4 linked regions of the Mus musculus genome follow. The protein of the gene in region 3 interacts with the protein of the main gene of each other region in a pairwise test. Links are inferred from orthologs where the notes say so. Each region holds a gene or a part of one and is shown on either strand. Other genes may lie near its edges.

The links. The genes of interacting proteins can lie anywhere in the genome.
Region 1: the proteins of Nme7 (region 3) and Zbtb48 interact in binary tests that used the Homo sapiens proteins (3 or more experiments, as listed by UniProt). The two-hybrid records come from large-scale screens. The link is inferred for Mus musculus from reciprocal best matches to the Homo sapiens genes NME7 and ZBTB48.
Region 2: the proteins of Nme7 (region 3) and Shtn1 interact in binary tests that used the Homo sapiens proteins (3 or more experiments, as listed by UniProt). The two-hybrid records come from large-scale screens. The link is inferred for Mus musculus from reciprocal best matches to the Homo sapiens genes NME7 and SHTN1.
Region 4: the proteins of Nme7 (region 3) and Lnx1 interact in binary tests that used the Homo sapiens proteins (3 or more experiments, as listed by UniProt). The link is inferred for Mus musculus from reciprocal best matches to the Homo sapiens genes NME7 and LNX1.

The regions. Positions count from the first base shown.
Region 1 is NC_000070.6:152,021,944-152,024,612, forward strand, and holds part of Zbtb48 (telomere zinc finger-associated protein), read right to left. Parts: intron 865-2,669; coding exon 753-864; intron 292-752; exon of another isoform or gene 177-291; coding exon 84-176; intron 1-83. UniProt on the Homo sapiens protein: Plays a critical role in transcriptional regulation and chromatin remodeling. Acts as a regulator of telomere length. Directly binds the telomeric double-stranded 5'-TTAGGG-3' repeat.
Region 2 is NC_000085.6:58,975,070-58,978,569, forward strand, and holds part of Shtn1 (shootin-1), read right to left. Parts: intron 2,542-3,500; exon of another isoform or gene 2,405-2,541; intron 140-2,404; coding exon 1-139. UniProt on the Homo sapiens protein: Involved in the generation of internal asymmetric signals required for neuronal polarization and neurite outgrowth.
Region 3 is NC_000067.6:164,342,026-164,345,833, reverse strand, and holds part of Nme7 (nucleoside diphosphate kinase 7), read right to left. Parts: intron 2,621-3,808; coding exon 2,570-2,620; intron 616-2,569; coding exon 408-615; intron 1-407. UniProt on the Homo sapiens protein: Possesses an intrinsic kinase activity. Displays 3'-5' exonuclease activity with a preference for single-stranded DNA. Does not seem to have nucleoside diphosphate kinase activity.
Region 4 is NC_000071.6:74,605,404-74,608,903, forward strand, and holds part of Lnx1 (E3 ubiquitin-protein ligase LNX), read right to left. Parts: exon of another isoform or gene 2,503-3,500; coding exon 2,334-2,502; intron 860-2,333; coding exon 634-859; intron 1-633.

The sequences.
Region 1 (2,669 bases), on a different chromosome or scaffold from region 3:
AGTGCCAGGTACCATCCCAGGCAGAGAGCTACATACCCCGTACCCCCACCCCAGCCCATGGCCCTGGGACAAGCGGGCCTGACCTTGTAGGGCATCTCCCCTGTGTGAGACACCATGTGCAAGCGCAGCTCCATCCTCCGTCGGAAGGTCTCCTGGCATACGGAGCATGTGAAGACCTGGCAGTGTGAGGGGCAAGCAGGGCCAGCATCAGGGAGGGCCTCTGCCTGCGACGGCAGCCTCTGCAGGGGCTTCCAAACGCTGCTGGTAAGTGTCTGCCTGGGGTAGGGGATGCTGGGGTAGGAGAGGGCAACATGTAACCTGCCTGCCTTGACCATCAGAGCACTGCACACTACCACACGCCAGACCCTTCTTGGCTTCAGACAGGCTAGAGACAGAGCCAGCTGCTACTGGCCAGTCTCTGGGAAGAGGATGACAGGGTTTAGCCAAACACTACCCACTTGGAGGGGCGGGGTGCCGACAAAGTGGCCCTTCCTGGCAGCCATCTCCCACAAATACTTTACTTGCTCCAAAGCATAAGATGGAGCTAGACCAGGAGCCCAGGCAGGCAAACCCAAAATATCCCTTGTGCCCTCTGAACTCATGTGTCCGGCAAGTACTAGGATGCGGACCTGCCAGGCCCCGCAGTTCTTATTTTATAATCCCGTAGGGTTTCCTGAGGATCCTTCCCAGATGGCATGAAGACACAGGCACTGTGCTGCTGCCCACAAATACTTGGACCAATTCCCAAGTACCTGTTCTGAGCGGTTCATGCAATTCCTGGCTTCATGTTCCAAGAGATTCTCCTTGCGGAAGTAACACTTCCCACATTTGGGACACTCGAAGGGTTTCTCCCCAGTGTGTTTCCTGCCAGGAAGAGAGGCCACAGAGGCGTGGGGGCTAAGAGGGTTTCCCAGCTCTCTGATCCTCCAGCTCTTGCCACAGACATGCTGTGCTCATTAGGAGGAAGAAGTGTCCTAAGTCTAGCTGGAGTTAACCATGTAGACTTAGCGACACCCAGCTTGCTCATGTAAGGGAAGGCTAGAAACCCCCTCCAGCTTAGAGAGCCTCAGGAAGAAATAGTAGCCATGGAAAGACAGCCAGGAGGGAGCCAGGAAGAGCCAGCCCTTCATCTGCCAGCCTCCCTAAATGGCTGCCTCAAAACTTCACTGACAAGACCTGGTTGACATCTTCCCCTCTGCGGACCCCACGTTCAACACCATGGCAGGACAGGTGATATGGCTCAATGCTCAGAAGCACTTGCTGCTGAGAAGCCAGAGGACCCAGGTTCAATCCCTGAGACACATGAGGTGAAGAAAACAACTCCCACAAGCTGTACACTGACGTCTGCACGTGACCCTCCCACACTCAGTAAAGAAGTAAATGTGGGACTCCACAACCAGATTCTGTGCGTCCATTTCACAGGTGCCAGCAAGGGCGTGGCTGGAGCAGTTCATGGAGTCCTTGAGTCACCACTGGTTCCTGGCTCCCTACCTATCTCTCCAGGAGGCTCCATTAAGTCCAGACTCTTTGCAGAAAAGGTGGCCCCTTGGGCTCACAACCTGCCAGTGCTTATTTTGTATTGAGAGCCCAGGGGGCAGAGGACATGGGTAGCCAGTGAACCAGCCTGCCCCTCACTGACCTTACCCCATGCCATGCCAACTCCAGGTCAGGCCCTACCACTCACAACAGCCAGCTAGCTCCTCTCCCAGCCAGAAGACTCTCACCAGTGACTGGCTTCCACACATCCTCCAAGTCTCCTAGCCTAGACGGGTGGCAGAGGCCGGCAGTGTAACCTCAGCCACTTGGTCTGGATCTTTCCCCCCTAGCATCCTGGGGACTGAACATGGGGGCCTCACCTGGCAGGCAAACAGATTAAGACTGATCTACAGCCGGGCGTGGTGGCACACGCCTTTAATCCCAGCACTCAGGAGGCAGAGGCAGACGGATTTCTGAGTTCCAGGCCAGCTTGGTCTATAGAATGAGTTCCAGGACAGCCAGGGCTACAGAGAAACCCTGTCTCGGGAAGAAAAAAAAAACAAAAGACTGAGCTACAGCCCATTCCCAGCTGCTCCAAGCTGAGGCAGAAGGATCATCAGCCTAGGCAATTTAGTAAGGCGTGTCTCACTACAAATGGGCTGGGGTATAGCTCAGTGGCAAAGACCCTGGGCTTCAGTCCCTAGCACTGAAGGTCACAAGGGAGGAGGAAGCACCCCACCTTCTTAATAAATAAATAAATACCACTAACCTTATCTATACAGTAGACTCCAATTCCCAGTTCCTCTGCCCCTACTCTCCTACCTCCCTAAACAGGGTGCCACACACTGAAGCCCCAACTGGCCTGGAACTCCCAAAAAGTGCAGGCTCAGGCTGTCTGCTTCATGCTAAAGTACTGCTTCCTTTCCTGCAAGACACAAGGCTTGCTGTACCTGTGCTGCATCCGAGCGCCATGAAGACCTTCATCTTCAAGGGCTACATCATCTCATCCCAAGTGCAGCAGCAGCTGAATAAACCAAACCAACCCTGACCTCAGCGCCATGGGTAGCACTGAGTCTCCTGTATGTCCGTCCAGAAGCCAAACCTACTCTCATCTTCTTCTCTCTAAGAATCCTCGCCCCCGTAGTCCCTGCCACTGCAAGGACCTCATTTTCTATTATTCTTTTGAGACACGG
Region 2 (3,500 bases), on a different chromosome or scaffold from region 3:
GAATTGAGTTGGGTCTTTTTCAGCAGCCTGGTCTTTGGTTTGGGGTTCGTGTGTGGAAACAGGATCTAATACTACAACTGGCTCAGCTTGGTTTTCACTGCCCACACATTTTCTCCTGTATCCACCTTTACTGGGAGGCCTGTGAGAAGAGAGTTAGATAGAAAAACAACTAAGCAGAAGAAAGAAAACATTTGGATTTCAGGTTCCTGGATTCAGAAAAATGACAACAGAAACGGTCCTAAGTCTAACCGACATGCACAACGCGTGGTCTTTGGGATGCCAGCCATTTGAAAAACAGAAAGCAGCAGCAGATATCCGATTACGTAATAGGAGCAGAAGGCCAGGAGAGAGAAGGCAGACAGAGTCAAAGCGATTAACTACGGAAGTAAAAAAATGCCAACTGCACCTACCTGCTTAATTGCTTGTTCCTCTAGGAAGTGCGCAGCCCCTGGCTCCATCTGCAATCCCAAACACTGCCCACGCTGCCTTTGTCCCACTAGCTCTTGTTCAGCTACAAGGAGCCAGCCTAGACCCCCACTCCCTCTTGCCCCCAGTACAGCTGTTTGCAGCTTAGCTGTGAAGAGGCTGCATAGAGAGAGCTGGGGATCATCTTGGCTCAGTGATGGACAGATGAGAGTGGCAGCCAGCTGTGCCCACCACAGCCATTACCACCCAGGAGGGAGACCTGACCTCAGGAGGTGGGTGGAAAAAAGGGCTGAGGAGAGCCCTCAGGGAATGGGGTCTGACGCACACCAAGTGTCCAGAAACTTCCCTAACCAGAAGAAAGTGGTTCTTGAGAAGTTTCTTTTAGAATTTTGCAAGTGGTTTTCTTTTCCTCAGAAGTTACCTCCCTCCTGATCCAAGAAGCTATTGTTTCTCATGCCAGGCAGGCAACAAAGTTTCCTTGTGGGAACCGAGGTATTCTTCATACTTACACTCTTGCCATGTGTCCCGAGTCTCAGAAGTAATGGTCAGCACCTACCCAGGGAAGGTTTCGGGCTGCTGGGCTTGTCTAGAGGGAATGCAGTAGCTGCAGTGTCAGGGCCACGGCTCTCAAGACTATTCTGGTCTTCCCAACCAATGGCCAATTCCAGGATGAGACTTTCACTCCAGAGAACCAACTGTGAGCCAGGACATGGAAGGCCTACCTGATATGTGACAAAGAGCTACTGCTTAGCACCTGCTCACTGACCTACCTGCCCCGGCCTTTGCCAGGCACTGATTTCCACTGGCCTGCCTTCTTGAGCAGGACAGATCATACGATAGCTCCTCTCACATGCAGTATTTCTCCTTTTCTACCCCCAGCACCCATGTAGATCATGTATACAGTAAACAAATGAACAAATAAATAACATCAGACTAAAGAAGACTCAGAGTGGAAGCCTGGGTGAGAACAGAGCTGGAAGTCTCATCTATACGTGGAAACAGAACAAGCCATCTATTATGGAAGGTGGCCTACGCTCACAAGGCATAAAAGCCTGAATTGGAAAACCACCGTCATAACCGCAAACTCTAACCAAATGCCTGCAAAGACATTCTCCGGCTGACAGGCCATATTAAAAACACGAGGGAAATGGCAGAAGGAAGGAGATCCTTAGGGACGGACATGACAGAGACCATGCTGTTGCTGTCTGTCTACCTTAGCCAATGAAACATTTCTCAAAACACCCGATACTCTGTCCTAGAGGTGGGATGGGGTGTCATTTCCTTGGTAGTACCTGTTTCAACTTTCTCCGGCCCAGGCAACATCTTACAGCTTCTCAGAAAAGCAGAGCCACCTTAGACTCTGGGCAACGGAGGGCACTGTGCGAGTCGGCCATCTCTATGCAAGAAGCTAGGCATTCCGGCAGCTCAAAGGCAAGCTGGCTGCAAACGGGCAGAGACTGAGGACAAACTAGAGATGCATCTTTCTGTGAGAAAGGCCCATCAGGCTGATGTACCGACCCCACAGGACAAGCTGAGCCCTCTCACGCGGAACCTGCACATGCATCTGAGCTGGGAAGCGGGCTGGGAAGCGGGCAAGCTGGAGGAAAAGCTGGGAGGAACCGCAGGACTGATCCACAGGCCAGCCGCTGGCACATGCCCCTCAAGTGGGTCAGCACATCGTGCCCTTCATACGCTATCCCAGATAAGCTACACATGAACTTCCTCAGGGTTCAAAGAAAACATTATTAAAACATCATCATCTCACGCCTGCCTCATACATCTCTCTTGTGGCCAACGAGAACCTGGAAACAAAGCATATGGGGTGTCCCAGGAAGTGAAGCTGCAGCTTGGCTCAGGGTCGGGTCACCAGCTTGCTTGTGCGCCCGCTGCTGTCACCCACCAGCATGTTGGAAGCATGCAAAGCGATGGATCTCACTCTGCCGTTTGGAGTGAGCAACTGCCATCGGTCCATACCAACCTCTGTTGCTCCCTTGGGCTACTGTGGGCGTTTTCATGGCCCCGTGTGTCTGCAGGCGAAGGGTGGTTAACATCTCCTAGCAAAAGCTGTCTTCATCAGCTGGGAATTAGAACTCTCCAGGAACTGCTCTCAGCATCCTATGGCAGCAACACACAGGCTGATTGATCTGAAAACTTAAAAACCTTGGACTGTCTATCTCTCCTCAAGCAAGCCACACTCGTCTGGCAGGCTAACCTGAGAAGTTGCTGGCAGGCTAGCTCCAGGATCTCACAGTTTCCTCCACTGAACTAGGCACGGTGGAGACTAGGCAGGGGGGCACTCCCTTGGAACCCCAGGGCAAGACAGAAGAGAGTAAGAGCGGCCATCTATCCAAACTGCCCTTTTGTAGATGGGGGCAGTTCTGTGTGCAGAGGGGGACAGCCTGGCCTAAGAGTACGCTGCTCCTGAGTGGCAGAGCCAGTGCAGGAGTCTGAGCTGTCTTCTCTTTAGGATTGAGCTATTTTCCAAATATAGCACAGGTGCCACAGCGTAATCTGTGGACATTTCTACTAGTTTATTTCCATTGTTTCTATCTGCAACTTTCAGATCAATGCTGTCTTTCAGAGGACAATGCTCAATGCTCAAGCTTCCTGGTTTGATATCACTAGGTCCTTTCCTAGGTCTCCCGGGGACCTTCTCAAAGCTCCTTTTAGAGCCTGAAGCCTTCTTAGAACATTCCATCTCTATCCCCATGATGCCACTGATGGTAAAGTTGCCAGGAGACAAGCCTCAGAGTATGCCTGTGGAGCAATTATTTAGACTAAGTTAATGAGGGAAGGCCCACCCTGAATGTGGGCAGCACCATTCCCTAGGCTTGTATCCTGGACTGAATATTAGAAAGAGCTGACTTGTAGCATTCACTGTCCTCTGATTCCTGAGTATGGATGCAATGTGCATGGCTGCCTTGACCTTTAGCTATCAGGTTTTCCCTGTCACAGTGGACTAATGCACTGTCACACTATCAGCACAAATTAACCCTCTCCACCTTAAGATGCCTTTGTTAAAGTATTTTTATCATAGCAACAGAAAAGGCAACTAATACATTCCCAATCCCATG
Region 3 (3,808 bases):
CACCTACTTAGCTTACACCACCGGCTCATCTGGATTACAAACAGACTACTCAAATGAAACCTCACTTTGGAATATCTACTATAGATCCATAAACTAGTATTCTTAGCTAAATTAAGTCACAAACATGAGCCTCAGCAATTTAATCTTTTACAGAAAGATGGGTGGCAACAAATGTCAGATTTTGAGAAAACTGCACTCAACAACAGCAACCAACAGGACTAATTTTAAAAGGGGGCATGGCTTTGAATCCCTATTTGATCCTAGAAAACCGTCACCAGGTGTTTCCCACTACTACATTAGCTGTTCAAAACCTCCCAAAGTCCTCAGCAGGAGAAACGTTTTACTTTGACACACACAAAAAATTCCCAAATAAAACAGAAGGAAAATATTTCTCAAAACCAACTTACTCTGGCAGCAGATGCAAAAGTATCAGGGCCGTGAGCTGCATTTCTCACGCCATCTGTCCCAAAGAGGGCTCGGATGCTTCCGGGGGCATCTGTCCGTGATAGCCCAGAGTTTGCGGGTCCAAGCAACCTTTTCCACTCACAGATCGCGTCATCTCTTAAGATCTCCATGGCAATAACAGGCCCACTTGTGATAAACTGGATCAGTTCGCTGGGAAGCAGGGGAAAGCCCGAGTTACTTCTCTACTACAATCTAGACACCTGCTAGACTACGAAGACATGTTAGGACATCAGTAAGCTCGAGGACTGGCCTGCTTGGGATCCGTTTCTGGGAAAAGGGGAGTGCCTTACAGAGACTGAGTTTGCTACAAAATCATTACAGAAGATATGACAAGGTCACTTCTGTTTGGAAGGGAAGGAGACACTTGTTGAATTTGGATGATTATGCCAACGTAAAATGCACATGGCTGATCTGATATTCCCCACTACTCTAAGAAGGACAAAGCTGATTCCATTTTAGTTTCCTAACAGTTTACCACAGCAGTCAGGGAGAATGTTATAACAGCAGTGACAAGCATGGTATTTCGTAACATTCTCAAGAAGGACTTAGTTAATTCTGTTGTGTGTAACTACTGCAATGCAGAGAGTGACAACTCTAAGTCAGTGTGATAAAGAAAAAGAATGGCAACAGGCCTTCAAAAACAGGCCTTCGTTAGGAGGAAACCTGCCTGGGTAATGATATCTAAGGGGTGGACCAGACGCACGGCTTTTATTGAAGTTTATGTCTGAGTCCCAGTTCCCTGGAAATGAAAGCTGACGCTTCATTCTCTTTTCCTATTTCTTCATGTGCACGCGATGCAACGATAAATTTAACTCGAAATAAAGTGACGTCCTGCCTCTTACCTTCTAAAGGAGAGGCAAACCAGAGAGAGGACAGGGCCTTCTCAGAGAAAGGAAGGCAGTGTACGGGCCTTCCCATGCCTATTGCCTTAGGGCTGCATGGAATACAAGCTTCTGAGCCCTTCACTAATCTCTGCAGTTCACGTAGTAGAGCATTTCCAAGAAATAGCATGTAAAAGGAAGTATCTACAGCCACAGTGCTAAGAGGACAAGACCTCCTCAAACTTCTGCTAGGCTTTAGCAGCCAAAACCAAAACCAAACAAAAAGAAGAAAAGAGAACGAAGGAAAGAAGGAAAGAAGGAAGGGAGGAAGGGAGGAAGGGAGGAAGGAAGGAAGGAAGGAAGGAAAGGAGGAAGGAAGGAATTTAATTATCAATATTATCCACATGTCAAAATCTAAGCCATAAAATAAGATCCAACCTCAAACAATCTAATCTAGTATCCAATTAACACAGAATTCTCTAATGTGGCATGTGACAACTAAGGGAATGGTGGGCTACTGAGAAGATACTGATCATGACTGACTTCCAGTTTCTCTAGCTAGTCATTTGTTAAGTCTCAGTGCCACAGAACCAGCTAATTTATTCATTGAAACTTTCTGCATATGAATTATATAGACAATATTAAACTAAGAGCTGTAATTTAGTATTATAAAAGCATACAAAGAATCTAAAACAAAGAATAATTGCCAAACAAATGTATATGATAATGCTAACAAAGTTTAGGAACATTTTATAATATATGGTAGTTCACAAGATATGATATACAATAATTTTGTTATAAATATTTCTTTTTTAAAAGTTATTCTTCTATGTATGATATCAAATAAAATGTCTACTGTAGCAGATTGGCTAATATTTCATTGTCTTTATTAGAATTTGTCATTCCTTTGTCCATGACAGTGAGTATGCACATTTCACTTTAATTACATCCAAATTCTTAGAATAGATTTCAGTTTCTAACATATATGATTAGTCATTGCCAATGAAACAAAACACATATCCTTATTTAGTTTTGTGACTACTGCTTTGTCCATACTAGATATAAAAATAAAGGCCTTAAAAGCACAACAAAATTGCCAACATAAAATATAATTACAAGCATGGTCTTTTAATTCAATGAGATATAAAAGAGATGTTTCTTAAAACAAATAGGTCACCCATTTGTTTCTGATTAAAGGTTCAAGTATTGAGTGGTGGATATAAAAAGTCTTATCTATTAAAAGTATAAAGAAAATAATTTTAGTCCCCAAGCTGAGTACCTACTTATAAAAAGGTCTTGAGTGATGGTCTACATGAAAGTCCGCTGCTTCTTTCCTATAAGATAATAAAAATACAAACAGTTAAAATTTATAAAAATATTTTAGCTTATATTCATAAACTAAAATAAAGATTAAAGCACACACACATGATCTATATATAAACTAATTAATGTTCTTTCCACTAAATAGCATATCCCAAGTAATGATCCTACATATGGAAAGATATAAAATTAAAGTAAGAGGATATTTTTACTTTTTTTATTAATGTTACACTTCACCTGTCTTCCATTCTACTAGCATCTCATTCTATTGTTAATACAATGTTAGATATCAGATCAGTAAGAGTGTTTGTTACTTAAAATCTAAACAAGTCACATAAAAAAATGGACAGCTTCTAATTCAAAAATTAGAATTAATTTTAAGCTTTCAAATTTAGGCTCCAGTTTATTTTATTTTTGTCATTTGCTGGGATAAACCTGGGACCTCACCCATGCTAGGAGGGACTCTTCTCTTGAGCGACATCTCAAGCCCTGTAGTTTTTAACTTACTAGTTGTTGCTTAGTTCTTAGCTAGATATATTCAAGGAAAAGATCTACATATTTGTATTTTTAATTGCTTCACAAATTATACATATTAAAATCTACATTTCCACTAAAAGTATCTATAGAGACAATAAAAAGATACTATAATCTAAACTGGTAAGCTTAAAGATCTAATAAAAGCTTTCTTCTCCCCGACCAAAATCCTAACTGTGCAGATTTCTTACTGGATTGAAAAGATTTTATGTTATGTAACAACTATATATAAACACCAACTAATCTTTTAAATGTTAATGTATTTTAAATGTAGAGGGTTTAGCCTGCACGTCTCTTTAGCACATGCATGCAGTACCTGCTGTCTCCAGAGGAGGGTGCCAGATCCCCTAGAGTTACAGATGGTTATCTACCTCCTTGTGGGTACTGGGAACCGAACTGGGCTCCTCTGGAAGAGCAACCAGTGCTTTTCTCTGCTAAGCCATCTCTTCAGCCCTTCAACTATTTTTTAAAATTGCAAATAAACTAAGTGTTCACTAGCAAAAACCCTTTTAAACTTTTAAACCTTTTAGACTTGAAAAATCATTTTGTATACAATACTTTTAAGAGCTTATCCATGGCTAGGGAGGCCATAGACCATTGTGGGAAACCTACTGCTGTTCTTTACCTAAATTGACAGGTGTCAAACTGTCTTCTATGCAACTGTTTGT
Region 4 (3,500 bases), on a different chromosome or scaffold from region 3:
TGCTCTAGTCCAAGGAAGCAAACATCAAATTTATCTGTCCATTTTAACTAGTCAGTTCATGTTCAGAGCCATTTTGTGGAGCTCTCCTGCTATACCTCAGAAAAATGGTACCCTAGTTGCTTCCTAAAGGACTTTCCAAGAGGAGTCACTGAAAAGAGATGTTGTGAGAAGCATCCCCAGCTAGCAGACACGTAACTCTCTGAAGCCATGATGTTTTGCTGCGCTGCTGTGCGTATAGTCAGAGCTTCTGGAAGCCTCAGAGTAGGACCACAGCCGGTCTGCAGCTCCCACTCATACCCATGCAAAGGTGAAGCTTGGTGTGAGCAGATGCAACTCAGCTCATGAGTGTGGAAACACAGGCTGAATGTCTGTCAGTCAGCTGAACCCCCTGCTACATGAACCATCTGGTAACTGTAAACACTTCAAGAATATCTAGAAGCTTCTCTTTCTAGACTTCCACCTCTACCCTAAGATTTCTATAGGGATTTTCATTTGCCAACAGAAGACAGTTATTCCCAACAGTCCCACAGAGAAGACTGGGTCCTAGCAAGATGCTAGTGCCCATAAATTGGCCCAAGACAGTGAAAGTGGATTAAGAAATAGAATCCATTGGGGTGTTGAATTGGGACTCACTGTGGTAATTCCAGCCACATGACCCAGGATGGGGACCAGTCACCAGGCGGGGTCACGTTGTGGTTGGAGTCCAGGGCTGCTGGGCTGCAGTCTTCCTGGGCCTCCTGTTCCTTGACTTCCAAGGCTTTGAGTACCACTGAGGAGGGTGCGCTCTTCAGTATGGCAACGGCCTCTGTCCGGCTGACCTCTGTGAGCTCAATCCCATTCACATTCAATAAAATGTCACCTGAGGCCAGAGAAGCAAAAGCAACCTCACTGAGTGCAAATGGGATTCTGCTCCGTGTGACAGGACAGCGGCTGACCGGGCACAGGGGCAGGGTGAGGAGAGGCGCATATCTTCAGCTCATAGAGACACGAGACTGGGTCCCCTTTAGCAGATGGTAGAGCATGTGGGAATGGCTTGTTGGGAGTCTCTAACAATGGCCTAGTGACGTTCATCTGTTGCCTGACTTAAATAGCTTCCTTGACTACTTAACCAAAGACAAGCTGCAATCTCACTCTTTTAGTTTCCTAGTTTCTTGAGCACACAATGAGAGCAGTTGGCATAAGGCTCCAGTGCCCGCAGAGAGCCTGCTATGTACAAACAGGGACCGAAGCAGGAGTTAGTGTCTGGCACAGGAGCCCAGGGCAGATAAAGAATGGCCCTGAACCTGAGCTTTCACAGAGGTGTATAGTTATCATTTCTAGTCAAGACATCTCTGTGTGTCGCATTAGCTAAGCACCTACTCTGTGCAAAACTGCTTCTATATGTGACATGCTACAATGTCACTTCTTGTCAGAGCTTATTCTTCACCCCGGGTGCTTGCTGAGCAGCAGGAGAATTTAAGATGGATCTCCCTGCCCTCGATGGCTTGTCTTTCAACTATCTCTCGGGTTTTTGTTGTTGTTGTTATTTGTTTTTTTGTCTTGCTTCTTATATATCATCTTTTTTCACACAGAATAATTGTAGTCAGGAGGAAAATGACAAGGGGTATCCTCAAATGCTTGCTGACTTAAGACAAAAGAAAAAAGAAAAAAAAAAACCACCTTTGATTGTCTGCCTAAATCCTATATATACTATGCCACACTCAAGTGCATGTATTTGAGAGACTTTTTTCTGTCTTAAATCTGAGCCCTTCAAAAGCACAACTGTTCCTTTACCTAGGTGACCTCTTCATGTGCTTGAACAGCGTTATTGAGAACACGTACTCACAAGGTAAACTGGGTACTTTCCTTTATGTAGAGGAGCCCAGAACATGAGTGGCTAAGAGAGGTCCATTTCTCACCAAGGAACAAAGTCCCACTAATGATATTTAACTATACCATTGAATCAAGATCTCTCAATAGATTCACCCCATTTAGCCCCACCAAATGGTACAATCCACAGAATCCTTAGGGCTGTTAGATTGCGTGGAACTAAATTGTGCCTTAGCGGCACCTTGTTCATGGGTGTAGTGGCTGTCTGCTCAGCCTGGAAAGTCCAGGGACTCTAGCTTCCCTAGCAAAGCTGCCTCATGCCTACTTCCATGCACTAAGAGGGGTGAGCCTAGACTACTGCTACACTCGTGCTCATCCTGCTCAAAGGGACACAGCAGTCATGGCCAGTTCCCTCTGACATGCTCTCCTTGACTCTGGGAGAGCAATTAAGGAACTCAACAGCGAGCTCCTAGCTCCGCCCCAGGCTCTGCCACCCCAGCGCCTTTATTCTCTTGAGTTTGTACCTGTTTTTATTCTCCCGTCTCTGCTTATGACTCCGCCGGGTTCAACACTGATGACATAGATGGGCAAGTCCCATTCCCTGTGGGATGCTCCCCCTCCGACGGTCATGCCGAGAGACTCGCTGGGGTCTTTCCAGACACTTACAACCTTCTCATGACAGGTGGCTGCAGGCTGAAGGCACAGACACAAAGAACATGGCACATACACTCACACGGCCTCTCTGAGAGTGCGCACGTTTTCCCATTCGCATCAAGAGAGTTACAGCACCTCAAATTCCAGCATCACAAATACAGCATCGCAAATTCCAAGGCTTGACTCCGAGAAGTTTACATTGCAGAACGGAATACTAACCGTACAGAGGCAACAGCCTGGGGACCATGGTAGAAATCTGGATCTTATAAATTTGGACTGGATCTCAAATCTCTCAAGGAAGTCAGCCATTTCTGACAACAGTAGGCCAACTTCTCAGAACACTCACTGTACATGAATATCAGTATGTCTTTCATATTTAAAATCATATTGATTAATGGAATGTGTGGAAGTTTGAGGGGCACATGCTAGAACATACATATGGAGGTCAGAGGACAACTTACAGAAGCTGGCTCTCTGACTCCACCCTGTGAGTCCCAGGGATCAAACCCATTCTGGTAGGCTTGACAGCAAGCGCCTTTACCCACTGAGCAATTTTGCCAGCCTGGCAAAAGCTTGTCTAGGTTTAAAATTTTTCTTACATCATGGACCTCGGGTGATGGCTTGTTGGCTGTAGTGCTTCCTGCACAGGTCTGAGGACCACTGTTCAGATCTTGTAGCACTCATAGAAAAGCTAACCATATAAAATGGTGGCTCATGTGTAATCCAGAGTTCAGAGATCCAACGGAGAGAGATGGCTAGTTAAGACTCGGCAATTAGGCAAGCTCAGCTTTGGCGTGAAGCAATCTCAGTAAATAGGATAGAGAGCAACCAAGAAAAATACCTGATGTCATGCTCTGCCTTCTACATGCACACGCTCACACATGCGCATGCATTCACGTGTCTGTAAATACACATATGCACGTGCATGCAAACCATACACAGATGCAAAAATTTGGCCTATCTTATACATCTTCCCTATTTTTGGTGCATTCCAAACAGCTGAACCAAGTAGCTGAGCACCAGGACTGCACTTGTCC